Macaca mulatta: one gene and its partners. The protein of the gene in region 2 interacts with the protein of the main gene of each other region in a biochemical or structural test. Links are inferred from orthologs where the notes say so. Each region holds a gene or a part of one and is shown on either strand. Other genes may lie near its edges. The genes, in order: NCOA6, HNF4A and SREBF2.

Region 1 (6,306 bases), about 9.7 Mb from region 2:
CAACCGCCCTCCCAGCACAGAACCTTCAGAAATCAGTCTGTCACCAGAAAGACTCAATGCTTCCATAGCAGGACTCTTCCCTCCACAGATTAATATTCCTTTACCTCCTAGGCCAAATTTAAACAGGGGCTTTGATCAACAAGGCCTAAATCCAACAACTTTGAAGGCCATCGGGCAAGCACCTTCAAATCTTACCATGAATCCTTCCAATTTTGCTGCCCCACAAACTCACAAATTAGATTCTGTGGTAGTGAATTCTGGAAAGCAGTCTAATTCTGGAGCAACAAAACGGGCAAGTCCAAGCAACAGTCGCAGGTCTAGTCCTGGGGCCAGTAGGAAAACCACTCCAAGCCCCGGGAGGCAAAATTCAAAAGCCCCTAAACTTACTCTGGCCTCTCAGACAAATGCAGCCCTGTTGCAGAATGTGGAGTTGCCGAGAAATGTATTGGTCAGTCCCGCTCCTCTGGCCAATCCCCCTGTACCTGGGAGCTTTCCTAACAACAGTGGGCTGAATCCTCAGAATCCTACTGTGTCTGTGGCTGCAGTTGGGGGTGTTGTTGAGGATAACAAGGAGAGCTTGAATGTGCCTCAGGACAGTGATTGCCAGAATTCCCAGGGTAGGAAGGAACAGGTAAACATTGAACTAAAAGCAGTCCCTGCCCAAGAAGTTAAAATGGTTGTCCCTGAAGATCAATCCAAAAAGGATGGGCAGCCTTCGGATCCTAACAAACTTCCCAGTGTCGAAGAGAACAAAAATTTGGTGTCTCCTGCTATGAGGGAAGCACCAACATCGTTAAGTCAACTTCTTGACAACTCTGGAGCTCCCAATGTGACAATTAAACCCCCTGGGCTTACAGATCTGGAAGTAACACCTCCAGTAGTTTCTGGGGAGGACCTCAAAAAAGCATCTGTCATTCCCACACTGCAGGATCTGTCTTCTTCTAAAGAACCCTCTAATTCCCTAAACTTACCTCACAGTAATGAGCCGTGTTCAACCCTTGGGCATCCCGAATTGAGTGAGGTCAGTTCTAACGTTGCACCAAGCATCCCTCCAGTAATGTCAAGACCTGTTAGCTCTTCCTCCATTTCCACTCCTTTGCCCCCAAATCAAATAACTGTATTTGTCACTTCCAATCCCATCACAACTTCAGCTAATACATCAGCAGCTTTGCCAACTCACTTGCAGTCTGCATTGATGTCAACAGTTGTCACAATGCCCAATGTGGGTAGCAAGGTTATGGTTTCTGAGGGACAGTCAGCTGCTCAGTCTAATGCCCGGCCTCAGTTCATTACACCTGTCTTTATCAATTCATCCTCAATAATTCAGGTTATGAAAGGATCACAGCCAAGCACAATTCCTGCAGCCCCACTGACAACCAACTCTGGCCTGATGCCGCCCTCTGTTGCAGTTGTTGGCCCTTTACACATACCTCAGAACATAAAGTTTTCTTCTGCTCCTGTACCGCCTAATGCTCCCTCCAGTAGTCCTGCTCCAAACATCCAGACAGGTCGACCTTTGGTCCTTAGCTCACGAGCCACCCCTGTTCAGCTTCCTTCCCCTCCTTGTACGTCTTCTCCAGTAGTCCCTCCTCATCCCCCTGTCCAGCAAGTGAAAGAATTGAATCCAGATGAGGCTAGCCCTCAGGTGAACACCTCAGCAGATCAGAACACTCTTCCCTCTTCACAGTCAACCACAATGGTTTCTCCCCTTTTGACCAATAGTCCAGGGTCCTCTGTCAACCGGCGAAGCCCAGTCTCGTCTAGTAAGGGCAAAGGAAAAGTGGACAAAATTGGCCAAATTTTGTTGACCAAGGCGTGTAAGAAAGTTACAGGCTCTCTTGAGAAAGGGGAAGAACAATATGGTGCAGATGGAGAGACTGAAGGCCAAGGGCTAGACACCACAGCTCCGGGGCTCGTGGGAACAGAGCAGTTACCCACAGAGCTGGACAGTAAAACCCCAACGCCCCCAGCACCCACTCTGCTAAAAATGACCTCTAGCCCCGTGGGCCCGGGCACTGCCTCAGCAGGACCCAGCTTACCTGGCGGTGCTCTCCCCACCAGTGTACGCTCGATAGTAACCACTCTGGTACCCTCCGAGCTCATCTCTGCCGTAACGACCACAAAAAGCAATCATGGTGGCATAGCATCTGAGCCACTTGCGGGTGGCCTAGTGGAGGAGAAGGTGGGATCCCATCCAGAACTTCTACCCAGCATAGGTATGTACTTGGGGCTTCATCATCTCTTTGTGTCAGTTTTTTGATGACCTAATCCCACAAGAGAAAGCATGACTCGTTTTTTACTTGGAGGAGAGTGGGCTAAATGGAAGTAGTTTTATTTATTGAAAGTACGTTGGAAAATATGCTTTTAAATCCCATGTTAAGTTTGCATTCATTAAAGAGAGCTAAGGGCCGGGTGCGGTGGCTCATGCCTGTAATCCCAACACTTTGGGAGGCCGAGGCGGGCGGATCACTTGAGGTCAGGAGTTCAAGACCAGCCTGGCCAACATGGTGAAACTCCATCTCTACTAAAAATACAAAAATTAGCCAGGCATGATGGCACACACCTGTAATCTCAGCTACTCAGGAGGCTGAGGCAGGAGAATCGCTTGAACCTGGGAGCAGAGGTTGCAGTGAGCCGAGATCACGCCACTGTACTCCAGCCTGGGCAACAGAGCGAGACTCTGTCTCAAAAAAAAACAAAGAGAGCTAAGGCTCTCAAAACAAAGAGCTCCTGAAATAATGACACCTTTCATTTATATAAAAGTTTTTCAATTTACAAGGAAGCATTTTTACATATGTTGTCTTGCATCATCTTTATACCAACCATATCAGATATTCTTAATCCCATTGTATGGGTGAGAAGACTGAAGCTCAAAGAAGTTCAGTGTTTGTTCAGAGTCTATACTGTGAACCTCCCATTTAACACTGTACCTTACGTGTGAACAGCAGCTTCTGCAGATTCTCTTTACCAGGGTGAAGATTTGCTCATGACTTTCAGAACAATGGGTCCTCATTCTCATTGTACTCTATCTCAGGAACCATTCTTTTTTTGTCTGGGCTACTCTAGAGGAGAGCTAGAAGAAAACTGGGTTTCATGATAGTGGACACGGCAGAAACAAAGTGGTCAAGAGCCTGTAGGCTTGGGTTGGTATTATAACACCAGCATTTACCAGCTCTGTGGACTTGGGCAAGTTACCTGACCACTCCAGACTTTGGTTTCCTCCTTTGTAATATGGAACAATAATAGTTGTAAGAATTCAATAAGGTAGTACATATAACATTCTTAGCACAGAACCTAGCATATAATTATTCAATAAGTGGTAAAAATTGTTATTCCCAGTTTTTTTTTTATGTAATCTCTTTGTTGATTGGTGCATTCCATTTGCGTGTATCTAGTTCAGGCTATTTCCTATGTACTGTTAAAATGGGCTAATGATGGAAGCATAGGTGTCCTTACAACCGCCCCTCCTTCCCTTCTTCCCTTCCCCTACATGATTCTCCTCCTGTGAGGCTTAAGTGAAGAAGCTCTATTTCCTCAGAGTGGAGTCAGTCACACACTGCTAGAGCTGAGAAAGACCTTTGCAATATCCTAGGCCAGCTAATTAAGTGCCTATCTTATTTATGCAGCTAAAATGCTTCGAGTGCCTACCACTGAGTGGTAAGCACCCAGGTGGAGAGGCAGAAAGAACACAAGCTTCAGGGTAAGATCAGAGTTCAAATTCTAGCCCACTGGTTACCAGTTACAGTTGATACATTCCTTAACCTCTCCTAAGCCATGTACTTCACTTGTAAAATGGAGATTGTACATTCTACCTCCCAGAATTTAGGATTCTGAGAGAGGACTCAATGAGAAAGTTTGTCAAGTGGCCAACACACTGCCTCACACCGAGCTCTGGAAAGGTTATTTCCCCTTCTCTCTGCCTCTTGACCTCAGTGTTAGAGATATGGGGGCAGGATAAAGGCCTTCAAGGAGTTTGCTGCTCTTATAGGAGACAGTCTTCACAAGACTGGGTGCTTATTCTATCTTGTTCTAGTTCTGTTGGTGTAGATGAACCTTAATAATTAAAAGGGAACCTGCTGTAAATTAAGTATATCCTTCACTATTAATTAAATATTTCCACTTCTCCTTTCAGGAGACTTTTCCCTCTGGTATCAAGAGAAAAATGATGAAGTAATTAGAAATTTTTTTTATCTGGATCATATATTATACTAGAGAAATATGTGAGCCTTGAGGAGATGAACCACACTTGGAAAAAGTTCTCAATTTTAGTTAAGAATACTCACTTTGCTTATAAGTGATTATTTCTATTCTTTTTCAAGGGACTTCTGTGCTTTTACTTTGAAAATGTGAGAAATTGGCCAGGCGCAGTGGCTTATGCCTATAATCTCAGCATGTTGAGAGGCTGAGGCAGGTGGATCACTTGAGCCCAGGAGTTTGAGACCATCCCGGGCAACAAGGCAAAACCCTATCTCTACAAAAATATATATATATAAATTAGCCGGGCATGGTGGCATGCACCTGTGGTCCCAGCTACTCAGAAGGCTGAGGCGGGAGGATTGCTTGAACCCACGAGGCGGAGGTTGTGGTGAGCCGAGATCCTGCCATTGTGCTACAGCCTGGGCGACAGAGCAAGTCTGTCTCAGAAGAAAAAGAAAAGGAAATTTGAGAAATGAACACTAAAGTTAAAAGTAGAAGTTAAGATACAGTTTTAAGGTTTATCAGATGAGCATCCAAAATAAATTCTTATACATAAATGCCTAATTTACTGCTTTAATAAGCAGGGAGAAAAATATACAAAATTCACAGTTTCCACAAGAGAGTAAAACGTATTGTCGCAGAGTTTATCTAGGATTTTAGACTGAGGTGTCAAGATGTGACTGTGGCATATCCACGCCATAATCTTTACTGTATCTTCCAGGATGGTTCCCTTCTAGAGTGCATTATGTATTTTATTCCATTCCTTAAGGGCCTAAGTTCTCTGTGTCCTTTGAAGCCTGATTCTGATGTTTCTCCCTTTAATGTGCCTCCAGATTTCTCAACCTAGAATTGCTAACCCTTGCTTTGGACTTTTGTAGTATTTTATACTTTGTGACTCCTTCATATGAAATCAGAGTGCACTCAAGTGCACCACATGTATGTATCTTATCTTTAATACTAGACTGAGTTCCTGATGTGCAAGAGGATGTAGTTTGGTCTCTCAGGGTACCTGGCACAGTGTCTTGCCCCTAGTAAGTTCTTCGCAACTATTTGTTAGATAAGTAAATAACATATGAAATTTATTTATTTATTACGTATGAATTGAATGCCTGCTTTATGCCCATCACTTTTGCTGAGTGCTGTAGAAAAGTACAAAACTATGTGACCATTTCCACTCTCATGGAGTATAGTCTTTAGGGAGTAAGACTAGATTTTTTAAATGCTGAGGGGAATGTATAATTGTACCTCTATGGTTTGGGTTGCCTACTAAGGTATGCTTTGGGACTTTTTCGAGTAGTGTTCAGAACCTGACCCCAAGAAGCAGAAAATATGAGTGCTGTGTTCTTATAGCCATCTCCTTCCCTTATTATTATACATACCAAAAGGAAAAGCTTATACCCCTAAATGGTAGTCATTGGTACTGAGTGTTATGGTAATTAATTTTTTTAGTAAGTCTTAAAATGTACTTGTAATTTCGAGGCCAATTTTGAGTACTGCCCTCTAAGAGTATATTGTTTCAGCAGTTACTTAGCCCTTGATTAGGTTAATGCTTTCTTTTTGTTTAGAAAAGAAAGTAAAAGGTCTGTAATTTTTTTTTCCTTGCCTTAGCCCCGTCGCAGAATTTAGTCTCAAAGGAAACTTCAACCACAGCACTGCAGGCCTCTGTTGCCAGACCAGGTAAGGTGTACTTTGGAAAAACATCTTGGAGTGGGATGGGTTACATGTGAAGGAACTACTGCTGTCCTCAGCATCATGTGTTCTTATGCCAGGAAGTAGCTGGAACTATTTTATCTGTTTGTTTCAGAGCAGACTTTGGTTGAGCAGCAGAGCTTGTGCAGTTCTACTTGAGATTATTTTCCCCCTGACCAGCTTGCTCTCTTATGCATTCATAGTGTCAGCTAAGGAACTCAAGAAGGGAATCTCTGTGCCCATTGTCTGCCACCCAGCCATGGGTTTCTGTTGCAGAGTTTTCCCTGTTCTATGACCCTGGCATCCATGGTTGGCAGCTGAATAACTGGCATATGGTGACTTACGGGGCTGGCAAGCATTAATGCACTTTGTAATTTTATTATCATGACAGTAGTGGAGTCTTGTTCATAGAATCTCTGC
Region 2 (6,306 bases):
TACACTCTGCAGAGAGACAGAAAGAAGGAGGGAGGAATGGAGAGGTGAAGGGAGGAGGGGAAGAGAGAGGAAAGAGTCCATTGGATTGGCAGCTGGAGGCTCTTGGCAATTGTGTTGAAAGCAGTTTCAGAGAGCTGGGAGAGTGGAAACCAGATTGGAGAGTGCTCCAAAGACAGCAAGTGGGAAGGTGGAGATAGAGTAGATAACCCTTTGAAATGGTTTGACTGTGAAGGGGAGTATGAAGGAGTTAGGATGACTGCAAGGGAGTGATTAGAATGATAGGTCATGCAGTCTGGGCTGCACTCAAAGAGAAATAAAGACAGAGGCTGGGTGCGGTGGCTCACACCTGTAATCCTAGCACTTTGGGAGGCCGAGGCGGGTGGATCACTTGAGGCTAGGAGCTCAAGACCAACCTGGCCAACACAGCAAAACACCATCTCTACTAAAAATACAAAAAAAATTAGCCAGACGTGGTGGCATGCGCCTGTAATCCCAGCTACTCGGGAGACTGAGGCAGGACAATCGCTTGAACCCAGGAGACAGAGGTTGCAGTGAGCCGAGATTGTGACATTGCACTCCAGCATGTGTGACAGAGCAAGACTCTGTCTCAACAACAACAACAAAAGGATGGGGTGATAGTGAAAAGAGAGTGTCGGTGAATTGACAGCCTCAGTAGGCTGAAGAAGTTTTGCAGTGATGGTACTAGATTAAGGGAGCTGGAAGGACACAAGGTGAAGTCAAAGTAGGGATGTTGAATTCGAGATTTTGGAGGTGCTTCAGTGAGGGCGAGGTTTCTCAACACTGGTACTATTGATACTTGGAACTGGACGATTCTTTGTTGTGCTGGGCTGTCCTGTGCGTTGTTTGGCTGCATCTCTGTCCTGTACCCATAAGGTGCCAGTAGCACTTCTCCAGTAGTGACAACCAAAAATGTCTTCGGATATAGTCAAACGTCTCCTGATGGGCCAAAATCATCCCCAGTTGGGAACCACTGTTGTGTGATAGCTTATTTCATTCTCACTTTGACCCTGTGAACATGGGGTTACTATGAATCAGGTGTCACTGAGATTAGGATCAGGAGCCTGTGGTCTGTTGCCAAATAGTTAAGAGCTCTGGGCTTAGTTGTCTCATCTGTAGAATGGGCTAATAATAGTATCCATTCTATAGGATTGTTGTAAGGATTAAATTATGTAAAACATGAAAAGTGCTATACAACAGTACCTGGCACATGATAATTGTTAATTATCAACAGTCGTTATTTATCACTGAGATCGATGTGCTGTAGAGATCTCTTACAAGCATTGAAATTCCATCATTGTCATATTACTCACCATAGGCTATTATTAAACCATACCCCATGTGGTATTTTTACTCCCTGACACATGTTTAAAGCGGTTACTGTGTTCCAGACAATCTGCTAGGCTCTCAAAGAAAGAAGAAAAATACATCTGAAATTGTAATGCTCATAGACAGAAGAAGTAGTTGTTCCTAAAAGTTGTGTTACAGATAAATTACTATGAGAAATCCAAGGAATGAGAACGAGGAGAATCAGGAGAGGCTTCTAAAGAGAGGAAATATATGAGCTGGGATTTGGGCTTATGGACGTGGAGCGGGTTTGGGGTGGAAAAAACATCTCTGACGGAAGCTACAACGTGAGCAGAAGCATAGAGATAGGAAAACACAGGGGACACATAGATGCTATAAGTAGGTCAGTTGGCTGCAGCAGAGATGTGGGGGATGAGGCTGGAAGGTGAGGCGGGACCAAATGGTTGAAGGACTTGCACGCCAAGGAGCCTTGAGAGCCATTGATTACATCCAATACGCTACTCATTAGAACATTTACTTGATCTCAGAGCTTCCTTATAGGCACCTTGTTTCTTTCAACTCACTTTTGTTCTCTTGGTTTTTTGGGGCCTTCTTAACACCCTCATGAAGCCTACGAATGGGAATGGTACACCCTAGTTTACTAACCCAGGAATAGGTCCCCAACAGGCATTGCCAATATTGGATGGGCAGGTTGATTGGTCACACCTGAGGAAGATGGCGTCCCAAGGCCTGAGGTCTGCATCCCATACTCTTCATCTTGATCGATCTTCTCTTCCTGCAGGGTCCTCCAGCGATGCACCCCATGCCCACCACCCCCTGCACCCTCACCTGATGCAGGAACACATGGGAACCAATGTCATCGTTGCCAACACAATGCCCACTCACCTCAGCAATGGACAGATGTGTGAGTGGCCCCGACCCAGGGGGCAGGCAGGTGGGCAACCTCTGGGGCTCTACCTTGCAAAGGGTGAGGATGGGGCTTAAGAGAGGAAGCAGGAGAAGGTGGAGTCTAGAAGGTAGAACCAGGATGCAACAATTTTCTGGGTTCCAGGGTAGGGAATAAAGGGCAAGGTTGTCCGTTTGTTGAGGCTGTTTATTCAGTAAGGTGACTGACAACCTTTACTGAATGAAGCCATTGTTGGGATGAGGCAATCCACTGGATGAAGTAACCTATTGGGTGAAGATGTTCTTGGGTGAGAATCCCATTAGTTGACATTGTCCATTAGGTAAAAGTGATCATTGACGTAAGGCTGCTCAATTGGGTAAGGCTATCCATTAAACAATTAGATGAGACTATCCATTGGGTCAGGATGTCTGCTGGACTAGACCATCCTCTGAAACCTCCAAAGTGTAAACTTGTCATTGGGCAAGGCTCTTCAAAGAATAAGATTATCAATGGGATGAAGTGATCCACTGAGATGAGATGATATTTTACTGACGTTGTTCTTGGAGAAAGTTGTCCATTGAACAAAGATTGCCAATTGGGTCAAATTTGCTCTCCAAACCTGCCATGAGAGTGAGGCCAGTTTCTATTACTCATGTCCTAAATATCCAAGAAATGGTATTTTTTGAGCCAGTTGGCCCTGGGTCTCATCAGCTGCTGGCTCCTTCTCCCAGGAAAGAATATCCCTGTCACCCATCCCATTGCCGTTGGTGACAGCCAGGCCTGGGCCTTGGTTTCAGAGAAGCAGTTCAAGTCTGCATATCAAATAAATGATGGAGGAGATGGGTGGTGGGACCTTCCAGACCTCATAAAACTTAGGCTTTATGATCTGGGACTCACAGAAGGTTGAGTCATAAAAGACCTTGGGGATTATCTGGTTTAATTAATTCTCTCATTTTATAGAGGAAGAAATTAAGTCAAGGCGGGGCGGGCTGGGGGTTGGGGGGAGAATTTTCCCAGGGCTCTTCATTTACTCCCACAAAGGCTGGAATTTTGAGCAGCTCCTATCTGTCTGTTTGTCCTTCCAGCCACCCCTGAGACCCCACAGCCCTCACCGCCAGGTGGCTCAGGGTCTGAGCCCTACAAGCTCCTGCCAGGAGCCGTCGCCACAATCGTCAAGCCCCTCTCTGCCATCCCCCAGCCGACCATCACCAAGCAGGAAGTTATCTAGCAAGCCGCTGGGGCTTGGGGGCTCCGCTGGCTCCCCCCAGCCCCCTCAGAGAACGCCTGGTGATCACGTGGTCACGGCAAAGGAAGACGTGACGCCAGGACCAGTCCCAGAGCAGGAATGGGAAGGATAAAGGGCCCGAGAACATGGCCTAAGGGCCACATCCCACTGCCACCCTTGACACTCTGCTCTGGATAACGAGACTTTCACTTGGGAAGACGCCACTGGAAAGTCCTCTACTGCCTTGGACAACTTTTCTCATGTTGAAGCCACTGCCTTCACCTTCACCTTCATCCATTCGCTCCTCCTTCTGCTGCTGCCCCCACGTCAAACGCCCGTTTCCCTCTGCTGTCGCCTTGCTCAGCCATCCCGTCTTCTCCAGCACCACCTCTCCAGAGGCCAAGGAGGCCTTGAAAACGATTCCCCCAGTCATTCTGGGAGCATGTTGTAAGCACTGACTGGGGCCAGGCAGGGTCTAGAAGGCTGTGGTGAGGGAAGACACCTTTCTCCTCCAGCCCCACCGCACCCTCCTTCTTCAGGGACTTGGGTGGGTATTTGGGGTGAGGATCTCTGCAGACCTTCAACCCGAGAAAACAAGCCCAGGTTGGCAACTGCAACAGGAACTTGGAGTGGAGAGGAAAAGCATCAGAAGGAGGCAGACCATCCACTAGGCCTTTGAGAAAGGGTAGACTTCTGGCTGGTAGAGCGGGTGAGACGGGACATTCCAAAGAACAGCCTGAGCCAAGGCCTCGTGGTAGGAAGAATCTAGCAAGAATTGAGGAAGAATGGTGTGGGAAAGGGATGATGAAGAGAGAGAAGGCCTGCTGGAGAGCATAGGGTCTGGAATACCAGGCTGAGGCCCTGATCAGCGGCAAGGGGTATGCAGGGAGCTGGGCTTCCAGAAAATGAACACAGCAGTTCTGTAGAGGATGGGAGGCTGGGAGCTGGGAGGTCAGGTGGGGTGGATGATGTAATGCGGGTGAGAGTAATGAGGCTTGGGGCTGGAGAGGACAAGATGGGTAAACTCTCACATCAGAGTGACATCCAGGAGGAATGATCTCCCAGGGCCTGTCTCAAGCTCTTCCTTACTCCCAGGCACTGTCTTAAGGCATCTGATATGCATCATCTCATTTAATCCTCCCTTCCTCCCTATTAACCTAGAGATTGTTTTTGTTTTTTTATTCTCCTCCTCCCTCCCCACACTTACCCGCCCCTCCTAACCTAGAGATTGTTACAGAAGATGAAATTGCGTTCTAAGAGGTGAAGTGATTTTTTTTTCTGAAATTCACACAACTAGGAAGTGGCTGAGTCAGGACTTGAACCCAGGTCTCCCTGGATCAGAACAGGAGCTCTTAACGAGAGTGGCTGAATAACTTTTCCAAAGGCTCCCTTTGTTCTCACTGTGATCAAGTTGGGGGGCTTCTGGCTCCCTTCTCCAGCCTCAGAAACCGGACTCGTTCTTCTGGGAACTCTGCCCACTCCCAGGACCAAGACTGGCCTGAGGCTGCACTAAAATTCACTTAGGGTCGAGTATCCTGTTTGCTGATAAATATGTAGGAGAATTCATAACTCTTGAGAGCTTTTCTCTCTTCACTCCCCAAGTCTAGGGGAGGGGTGGCAGGGGTCTGTTTCCTGGGAGTCAGGTTCATCTGGCCTGTTGGCATGGGGGTGGGACAGTGTGTGCAGTGTGGGGGCACGGGAGGGCTAAGCAGGCCCGGGTTTGAGGCCTATTCTGGAGATCGTCACTCCAGGTGTATTCTGGAAACACTGGACCCTAGGATGGAGCATCCAGCATGTCATCCATGTGGAATCTTGGTGTCTTTGGGGACATTCTGGAAAATGCCACTGACCAGTGTGAACAAAAGGGATGTGTCCTGGGGCTGGAGGTGTGATTAGGTAGGAGGGAAACTGTTGGACCGACTCCTGCCCCCCGCTCAACACTGACCCCTCTGAGTGGATGGAGGCAGTGCCCCAGTGCCCAGAAATCCCACCATTAGTGATTGTTTTTTATGAGAAAGAGGCATGGAGAAGTATTGGGGCGAGTGTCAGAGAGGAATCACCGCATCCCTACAGCAGTCCCAGCCAAACCCCCAGTCCCAGGAGAGACTGTGCCCTGCTCAAAGCTCCCTAGCCTTCCTCCACCACCTCATTCAAGTGCCCCTGAAATCTCCTCCAGATAGCTCAGCCTGGTCTGCGGTAAGGCAGGGAGGCTGGAACCATTTCCCGGCATTGTGGTCATTCCCACTCTGTTCCTCCACCTCCTCCCTCCAGCGTTGCTCAGGCCTCTGTCACGGGAGCAAGGTTGAGATAAGAATGTGCCATGGCGTGCAGAGGGCAACAGTGGCCCTTCATGGGAACAATCTTTTGGAGCAGGGGGTCAGTTCTCTGCTGGGAATCTACCCCTTTCTGGAGAAGAAACCCATTCCACTTTAATAACTTTATTGTAATGTGAGAAACACAAAACAAAGTTTACTTTTTTGACTCTAAGCTGACATATTAGAAAATCTCTCTCTCTCTCTTTTTTTTTTTTTTTTTTTTTTTTGGCCACTTGAGTTGTGGTCCTAAAACATAAAATCTGATGGACTAACAGAGGGTTGCTGGGGGGACAAGCGTGGGCACAACGGTTCCCCCACCAAGACACCCCGATCTTCAGGCAGCTCTCAGCAGCTTCTAAAATCCGCATGGCTCTCCTGAGAGCGGACAGAGGAGAGGAGAGGGTCGGAAATGAACGCTCTTCTATTGTTTGTCATTACCAAGCCAATTACATTTGCCAAATTTTTCTGTGATCTGCCCTGATTAAGATGAATTGTGAAATTTACATCAAGCAATTACCAAAGTGGGCTGGGTCCCATCAGAACGACCCACATCT
Region 3 (6,306 bases), about 88 Mb from region 2:
AGACTGAGGCGGGCAGATCACCTGAGGTCAGGAGTTCTAGACCAGCCTGACCAACATGGAGAAACCCTGTCTCTACTAAAAATACAAAATTAGCCAGGCGTGGTGGCGCATTCCTGTAATCCCAGCTACTCCGGAGGCTGAGGCAGCAGAATCACTTGAACCCCGGGAGGCGGAGTTTGCGGTGAGCCGAGATCACACCATTGCACTCCAGCCTGGGCAACGAGAGCAAAACTCCGTCTCAAAAAAAAAAGGAAAGAAAATAAAGTTAGAAAAAATAAGAGGAGAAAACAGAGATGAAGAATAAAAAGAGGGGACCTCCATGGTTGGCCTATTTACTTAATCGAATGGCCCTGATTGAGAGTGTCACTTCTGCCCTTAAGCTTTTTGATGGCGAAATTGTATAAAGAAATGCAGTAATTTGCTTAATTGTCATTTGAGAGGAAAAAATGTGTCATACACTAGGAGGAAGTTTTCTCCGGTACCAACTCGTGGTTCACCGTGTAGAAGTTTAGAAGTGGTTAACAGTTTGACAGCACAGCAGAAATCATGACTTGTTTCTGGCATACCTAGATCAAAACTTAAAACATATTTAGCCATGTTAATCCTCTTGTGTAGTTTATCAGTGTTGATTCTGAAGGTAGGTAGTAACCGAGGTGCCGTGGCTCCTGAGGCGTCTTGGGGCCTGATTTGATTAACTCAGGAAGAGTCTTAGACCTCATGAAGTACTGCCAGGTCTGGCAACACTTGGCCAGGGTAGGCAGGTCTGTGTTGAGGTTGCTTTATGCAGACTAACAAAGGGTTCATTCTGCTCTGTACCTGTGCCTATTCTAGACCCTGGTGGGCAGCAGTGGGACCATTCTGACCACAATGCCTGTAATGATGGGGCAAGAGAAAGTGCCCATTAAGCAGGTACCTGGGGGAGTCAAGCAGCTTGAGCCCCCCAAAGAAGGAGAAAGGCGGACAACCCACAATATCATTGAGAAACGATATCGCTCCTCCATCAATGACAAAATCATCGAATTGAAAGACCTGGTCATGGGGACAGACGCCAAGGTGGGTGCCAAGCAAAATCGTGTTTTATGTTCCACCATGTCCCCTCTACCTGTTTTTGCTTCAGGAGCTTAGAGAAGTCCCAGACTCAAGGTAAGTGAATACAAGACCAAGTTAGAGGTACTTTTTTATTAAAGCATCTTGGTATTGTGTCAAGATTATAAAATATTAAAAACCAGAAGGGTACTGGTGAGGGTTGATGAGGCAGTGACCCACTGAGACCTTTGACTCCTTCGGCTGTGCTCTGCAGTGATGGGGGACTCCACTGTCAGAGGCAGAGAAAGATGCCTGCCACTCAGTAGTTCCAGATACAGGACTGTGTGTGCCTTGGAGTCAGCTGATGGCATCGTTTTAGCTGTGTTTAGGGGTTACCTTTTAGGGAAAAGAAAGAAAAAAGAGGTTGAGTCTTTGACCAGCAACAAATAGAGGAAATTGATTTTCCAAATGTTTCTGGTGTTTTCACTGAATGTGTCTTCTGGAAAGTAGGAGATTTTATTTTTAAAACCTATCTATGTTTAAACCCTATTTTGAAAGAAAATTTCATTATTTTCCTTGTTGCCTACAAATCTGAAAAGTATGCATCCTAAGTAAAAATCTATGCCTTAAGATAACTGTCCAGGCCAGGTGCTGTGGCTCACGCCTGTAATCGCAGCACTTTGGGAAGCTGAGGCGGGTGGATCACGAGGGCAGGGGTTCAAGACCAGCCTGGTCAACATGGTGAAACCCCATCTCTACTAAAAATACAAACAATTAGCCAGGTGTGGTGGCAGGCGCCTGTAATCCCAGCTACTCAGGAGGCTGAGGCAGGAGAATTGCTTGAACCTGGGAGGCGGAGGTTGCAGTGAGCCGAGATGGTGCCATTGTACTCCAGCCTGGGCAACAAGAGTGAAACTCTGTCTTGGGAAAAAAAAAAAAAAAAAAAAAGATAGCTGTCCAACAATGCTGTGGTGTTTTGTCATTTGTTTTCCTTAAAGTTTGTTTTTATGCTAGGATTATTGTAAGAAGTAGGAACAATAGCTAATATTTATTGAGTGTCAACTGTTTGCCAGGCTCGGGGCTAAGCTCTTTACACTCATTATCTGATTTAGCCAGGCTGCAAGCCTGTGATTCACGGACTCTCATTATCTCTGTGTTAATGAGGTGGAAAGTGAGGTTCAGAGGTATGGAGTAACTTCTCCCGAGTGGCACAGCTAATCGTTGGGAGGGCCAGCATCTGAACTTGGTTTCTCCCCTCACAGAGCCATGCTGTCATCCCAAGTGCTAGGGCTCTGCTCTTTTCACCCTGTAGCCTGCACTGGTCTCACTGTGTTTTTGCTTATCTTCCTACCCAGATGCACAAGTCTGGCGTTCTGAGGAAGGCCATTGATTACATCAAATACTTGCAGCAGGTCAATCATAAACTGCGCCAGGAGAACATGGTGCTGAAGCTGGCAAATCAAAAGAACAGTAAGTGTGCTGAGAGCAGGGTTGTCCCCCGGCCCGGCTAGGGCTTTGTAAAGGCAGATCATTTTCACCAGGTGGGGTTTTCTTTGCAGAGCTTCTAAAGGGCATCGACCTAGGCAGTCTGGTGGACACTGAGGTGGACCTGAAGATCGAGGACTTTAATCAGAATGTCCTTCTGATGTCCCCCCCAGCCTCTGACTCAGGGTCACAGGCTGGCTTCTCTCCTTACTCCATTGACTCTGAGCCAGGAAGCCCTCTGTTGGATGATGCAAAGGTACAGACTTTTGAAATCTTCTGATCCTTGGAATCTTTCCCATTTCCCCTAAGAAAGTAGCTGGGAGGTCACAGTTATGAGGCCAGGCTGCATGTTCAGAGGGCCTAGCCTGGAGAGAAACAGGAATTCTGTGAAATTAACCAGGTGCTGGAGAATAAAGAAAAAGAAAACTGACTCTGGGGGGAAACAGTCCCTCAGGTTTAACTGGTCCTTGCTAATAGGCCCCGTCAGAGAGTAATGAGTGCCAGATCCAGAACAGGAATGCGGAGTAGCTGTTGTGGGGGCGTTGGGAGCTGCTGAAGGCACCTCATTGCTTCACTCTGCCTTTAATGGGCCTGGCAAGACCACTTTGGGAGGCTGATCAATTCGTTTAGGATGAGGCTGCCTCTGGGTCCTCTTTTCAGAAATGATTACAATTTGCAGTCTAACAGATAACATTTTATCTACGGGCCTTTAATCGTCCAAGAAAGCCCCTGGCAATGGTAGTTTAATGGAATTACTTAAGAGAGGCTCTGAGCCTAATGATCTTCCTGGGAACCTGTAGAGACCACTGGGTTCTGTACTGTATTTTGACTTTGGCAGTTTCTGACTCTGTAAGCACAAAGTTCCCTTCTAGTGTTTGTTTTTGACTAAGCTGTTTATTGTATCACATACTTAATTTTACTAAGGATGCTCTGTTTTTGAAATATTCTTATAGATGTGATTCTGTTTGGCAACAACAGGCTGTTTGACATATAAATTGAATTAGCTCGGCTTCTGAGTCATCAGAAGAATGGTTTTAAAATATTGAAAAGAAATGACATGCTATATACACATTGGGGCACAGGGGAGATCTGGCTCCAGCCCTCCTGCTCTAAAATGGAGAGTGGGGTGGGTGTAGACAATGGTACTGTTTTAGAACAGGTAAAATATCCTTTAGATAGATTCACACTAAATATGATTTTTGATCAACTTTATTGAGGTATAATTTAAATGCAATAAAATATACCTACTTTAAATGTACAGTACCAAGAGTTTTAACATAATGTACAGTGCTATGTAACTGTCACTATAATCAAGATATAGAACATTTCCATCACCCCAAAAAGCTCTTTTGTACACCTTTGCAGGTAGTTTCCCACACCCCTCTCCAGCCTCAGACAATTACTTGATTCATCAGTTTCCTGTTACTTTAGATTCATTTTGCCTGTTCTGGAATTATACAGAAACAGAATCATACAGTGTGTTCTCTTTTGTGGTAGAGCTCTATTTTAAAAGAAAATCTCTTCTACCTTTGTTCTTTGGCACATGTACTTTTCTCAGTTAGCAAGCAGGTGAATGTGCCAATGTTTGAGCAGCAGTTAGTGAATTATAGGCCTCTCAATTCCCATCTGGCCTTAGTCCTGAGTTAATAGACTTGAATTTAAACCTCATAACCATTTCTCAATATATATATGTATTTATAAAGTGCTGTAAAAACCTATGCAGTATTTATTCCAACCTCGAGGCCTTGTTTTGAAGGTCAAAGATGAGCCGGACTCTCCTCCTGTGGCACTGGGCATGGTAGACCGCTCACGGATTCTTCTGTGTGTCCTCACCTTCCTGTGCCTCTCCTTTAACCCCCTGACTTCCCTGCTGCAGTGGGGAGGGGCTCACGACTCTGACCAGCACCCACACTCAGGCTCTGGCCGCAGTGTCCTGTCATTTGAGTCAGGTAAGTGGTGGCCCCTTACACCACCTGGGCATGGCTGGACCACTATGGCAGGAGAAGGACCCTGTGTACAAACTTCTTGGCTTGGCTACCAGGTCCCAAAGGGGTTTTATAGTGGGCCCCTACCTGCTTGCTTCTGATAGGGACTGGCATAAGTTCCGTTTTGGAAGTAACAAGGCAAGCCCAAGTTCAGTCAGAATGAGCAAAACAAATCAGGGACCCACACTACTCTAAATACCCTGGCGTGGAGGGGTGGTACCTATTTGAAGGAGGATATGGTGTTTTTTACCTGAGGTTGCAAAACCAATGCCTTAACCCTTTCAAGCTAACAAAGATTTTTGTGGCACTCAGCTCCATAATGACAAGGGCTACAGTCATTAGCCCCGTTTAGATTATAGAATTATTCACCCTTTCTTCTGAAAATACGGTAGAAGACTCGTTCCTGTGATAGTGCTGGGGTCTGTCAGGTGCCTGGCTGTTCCGCAAGGCCTTTCCTGGCAGGCTCTGCTGAGACACTCCTTCTTAGGTTCTGGGGGCTGGTTTGACTGGATGATGCCTACTCTTCTCTTATGGCTGGTAAATGGTGTGATTGTCCTGAGCGTCTTTGTGAAGCTGCTGGTCCATGGGGAGCCAGTGATCCGGCCACACTCCCGCTCCTCGGTCACCTTCTGGAGGCACCGGAAACAGGCAGACCTGGATCTCGCCAGAGTGAGTTCTGTGTCCGCCCTTCCCCATCCTCCCCTAGACTTGACCAATAATTCAGCAACTCATGTCGAAGAAAGTCCTATGATAGATACTTGTGGTAACTGAAAGGAAAAAGGGACCCTGCTGCTGAACAGTCACAGGGCAGTGGAGAGGGCGCCTCTGCATAGATAATTAATTCCAGGGACATGAGATGATCTATGTCTCTGGTATGACAGAGGAATAATAAAGTTGGGTTCTGAGGGAGGGGTTCCAGGGCTTGATCGGGGCTGCCAAGAGCAGGAAGGAAGGGCGGAGGTGGCCGAAGGACCCACCCAAAGGCATGAATAGACAGGCTATTTGGTGACTGGCAGGTTCCAGGGTATGTTAAGTGTAGGGTGTGTCACAGAGAGTTGAAGGCAAAGGCTGGTAGTGTGTCTAGGCCCAAATTGGAGAGGGCTTTCACTGGGAACTGATTTGGGGCTTTATTCCCAATTCTTTATAGAACCAGGGAAGGTTTTTGAGCAGGAAAACTAGCTGAAAGTTTTCATTTGAAATCAACAGGGAGTTTATGGAAAAAATTCTGGGGCAACTCACAGCATTGAGGAAGAGTTAAACATCCACATTTTAAGAGGAACAAGAACCAGAACACTCCTCAGCAGCAGTGAGCCATGGGCATGCCCTCCCCACCTCTGCAAGCTGCAGAGCCATTAGTGAGAATCTGATTGGCCATCCTGGATCTGTCAGCCTTGCTGGGGCTACGGGTCTCAGAATGTAGATGTGATTTTAAGAGGCCTGTTCCCTGAGCATAACATCCCAAGATGTATATCCTAGAGGCAGGTTCAGGTGTGTGTTTTATAAGCATCATTCTGGTGGCTGTGAAGGATAGGTAGAAGGGAGATGTGAAATGAATGGAACATGGAAACAAGTTAGGGTGCTCTTTTTTAAGTAGAGACAAGGTCTCACTATGTTGTCTGGCTGGTCCCAAACTCCTAGGCTCAAGTGATCCTCTCACCTTGACCTCCCAAAATGTTGGGATTATAGGCATGAGCCACCACGCCTGGCTGAGTCAGGGGGCTCTATGAAATAGGCTGACTAAGAGATGATGGCAAGGACCTGGAATTAAAAGGAAAAGTTTGAACTGAATAAATATTTGAAATGTAGTATT

What was found.
Region 1: the proteins of HNF4A (region 2) and NCOA6 form a complex in vitro, tested with the Homo sapiens proteins (2 studies listed by BioGRID). The link is inferred for Macaca mulatta from reciprocal best matches to the Homo sapiens genes HNF4A and NCOA6.
Region 3: the proteins of HNF4A (region 2) and SREBF2 form a complex in vitro, tested with the Homo sapiens proteins (2 studies listed by BioGRID and IntAct). The link is inferred for Macaca mulatta from reciprocal best matches to the Homo sapiens genes HNF4A and SREBF2.

Annotation. Positions count from the first base shown.
Region 1 is NC_133415.1:87,523,501-87,529,806, reverse strand, and holds part of NCOA6 (nuclear receptor coactivator 6), read left to right. Parts: coding exon 1-2,216; intron 2,217-5,805; coding exon 5,806-5,874; exon of another isoform or gene 5,875-5,904; intron 5,905-6,306. UniProt on the Homo sapiens protein: Nuclear receptor coactivator that directly binds nuclear receptors and stimulates the transcriptional activities in a hormone-dependent fashion. Coactivates expression in an agonist- and AF2-dependent manner.
Region 2 is NC_133415.1:97,262,222-97,268,527, forward strand, and holds part of HNF4A (hepatocyte nuclear factor 4-alpha), read left to right. Parts: intron 1-2,107; coding exon 2,108-2,260; intron 2,261-3,294; exon of another isoform or gene 3,295-3,297; coding exon 3,298-3,440; 3' UTR 3,441-6,306. UniProt on the Homo sapiens protein: Transcriptional regulator which controls the expression of hepatic genes during the transition of endodermal cells to hepatic progenitor cells, facilitating the recruitment of RNA pol II to the promoters of target genes. Activates the transcription of CYP2C38.
Region 3 is NC_133415.1:9,625,239-9,631,544, reverse strand, and holds part of SREBF2 (sterol regulatory element-binding protein 2), read left to right. Parts: intron 1-831; coding exon 832-1,053; intron 1,054-2,381; coding exon 2,382-2,496; intron 2,497-2,585; coding exon 2,586-2,767; intron 2,768-4,267; coding exon 4,268-4,460; intron 4,461-4,983; coding exon 4,984-5,165; intron 5,166-6,306.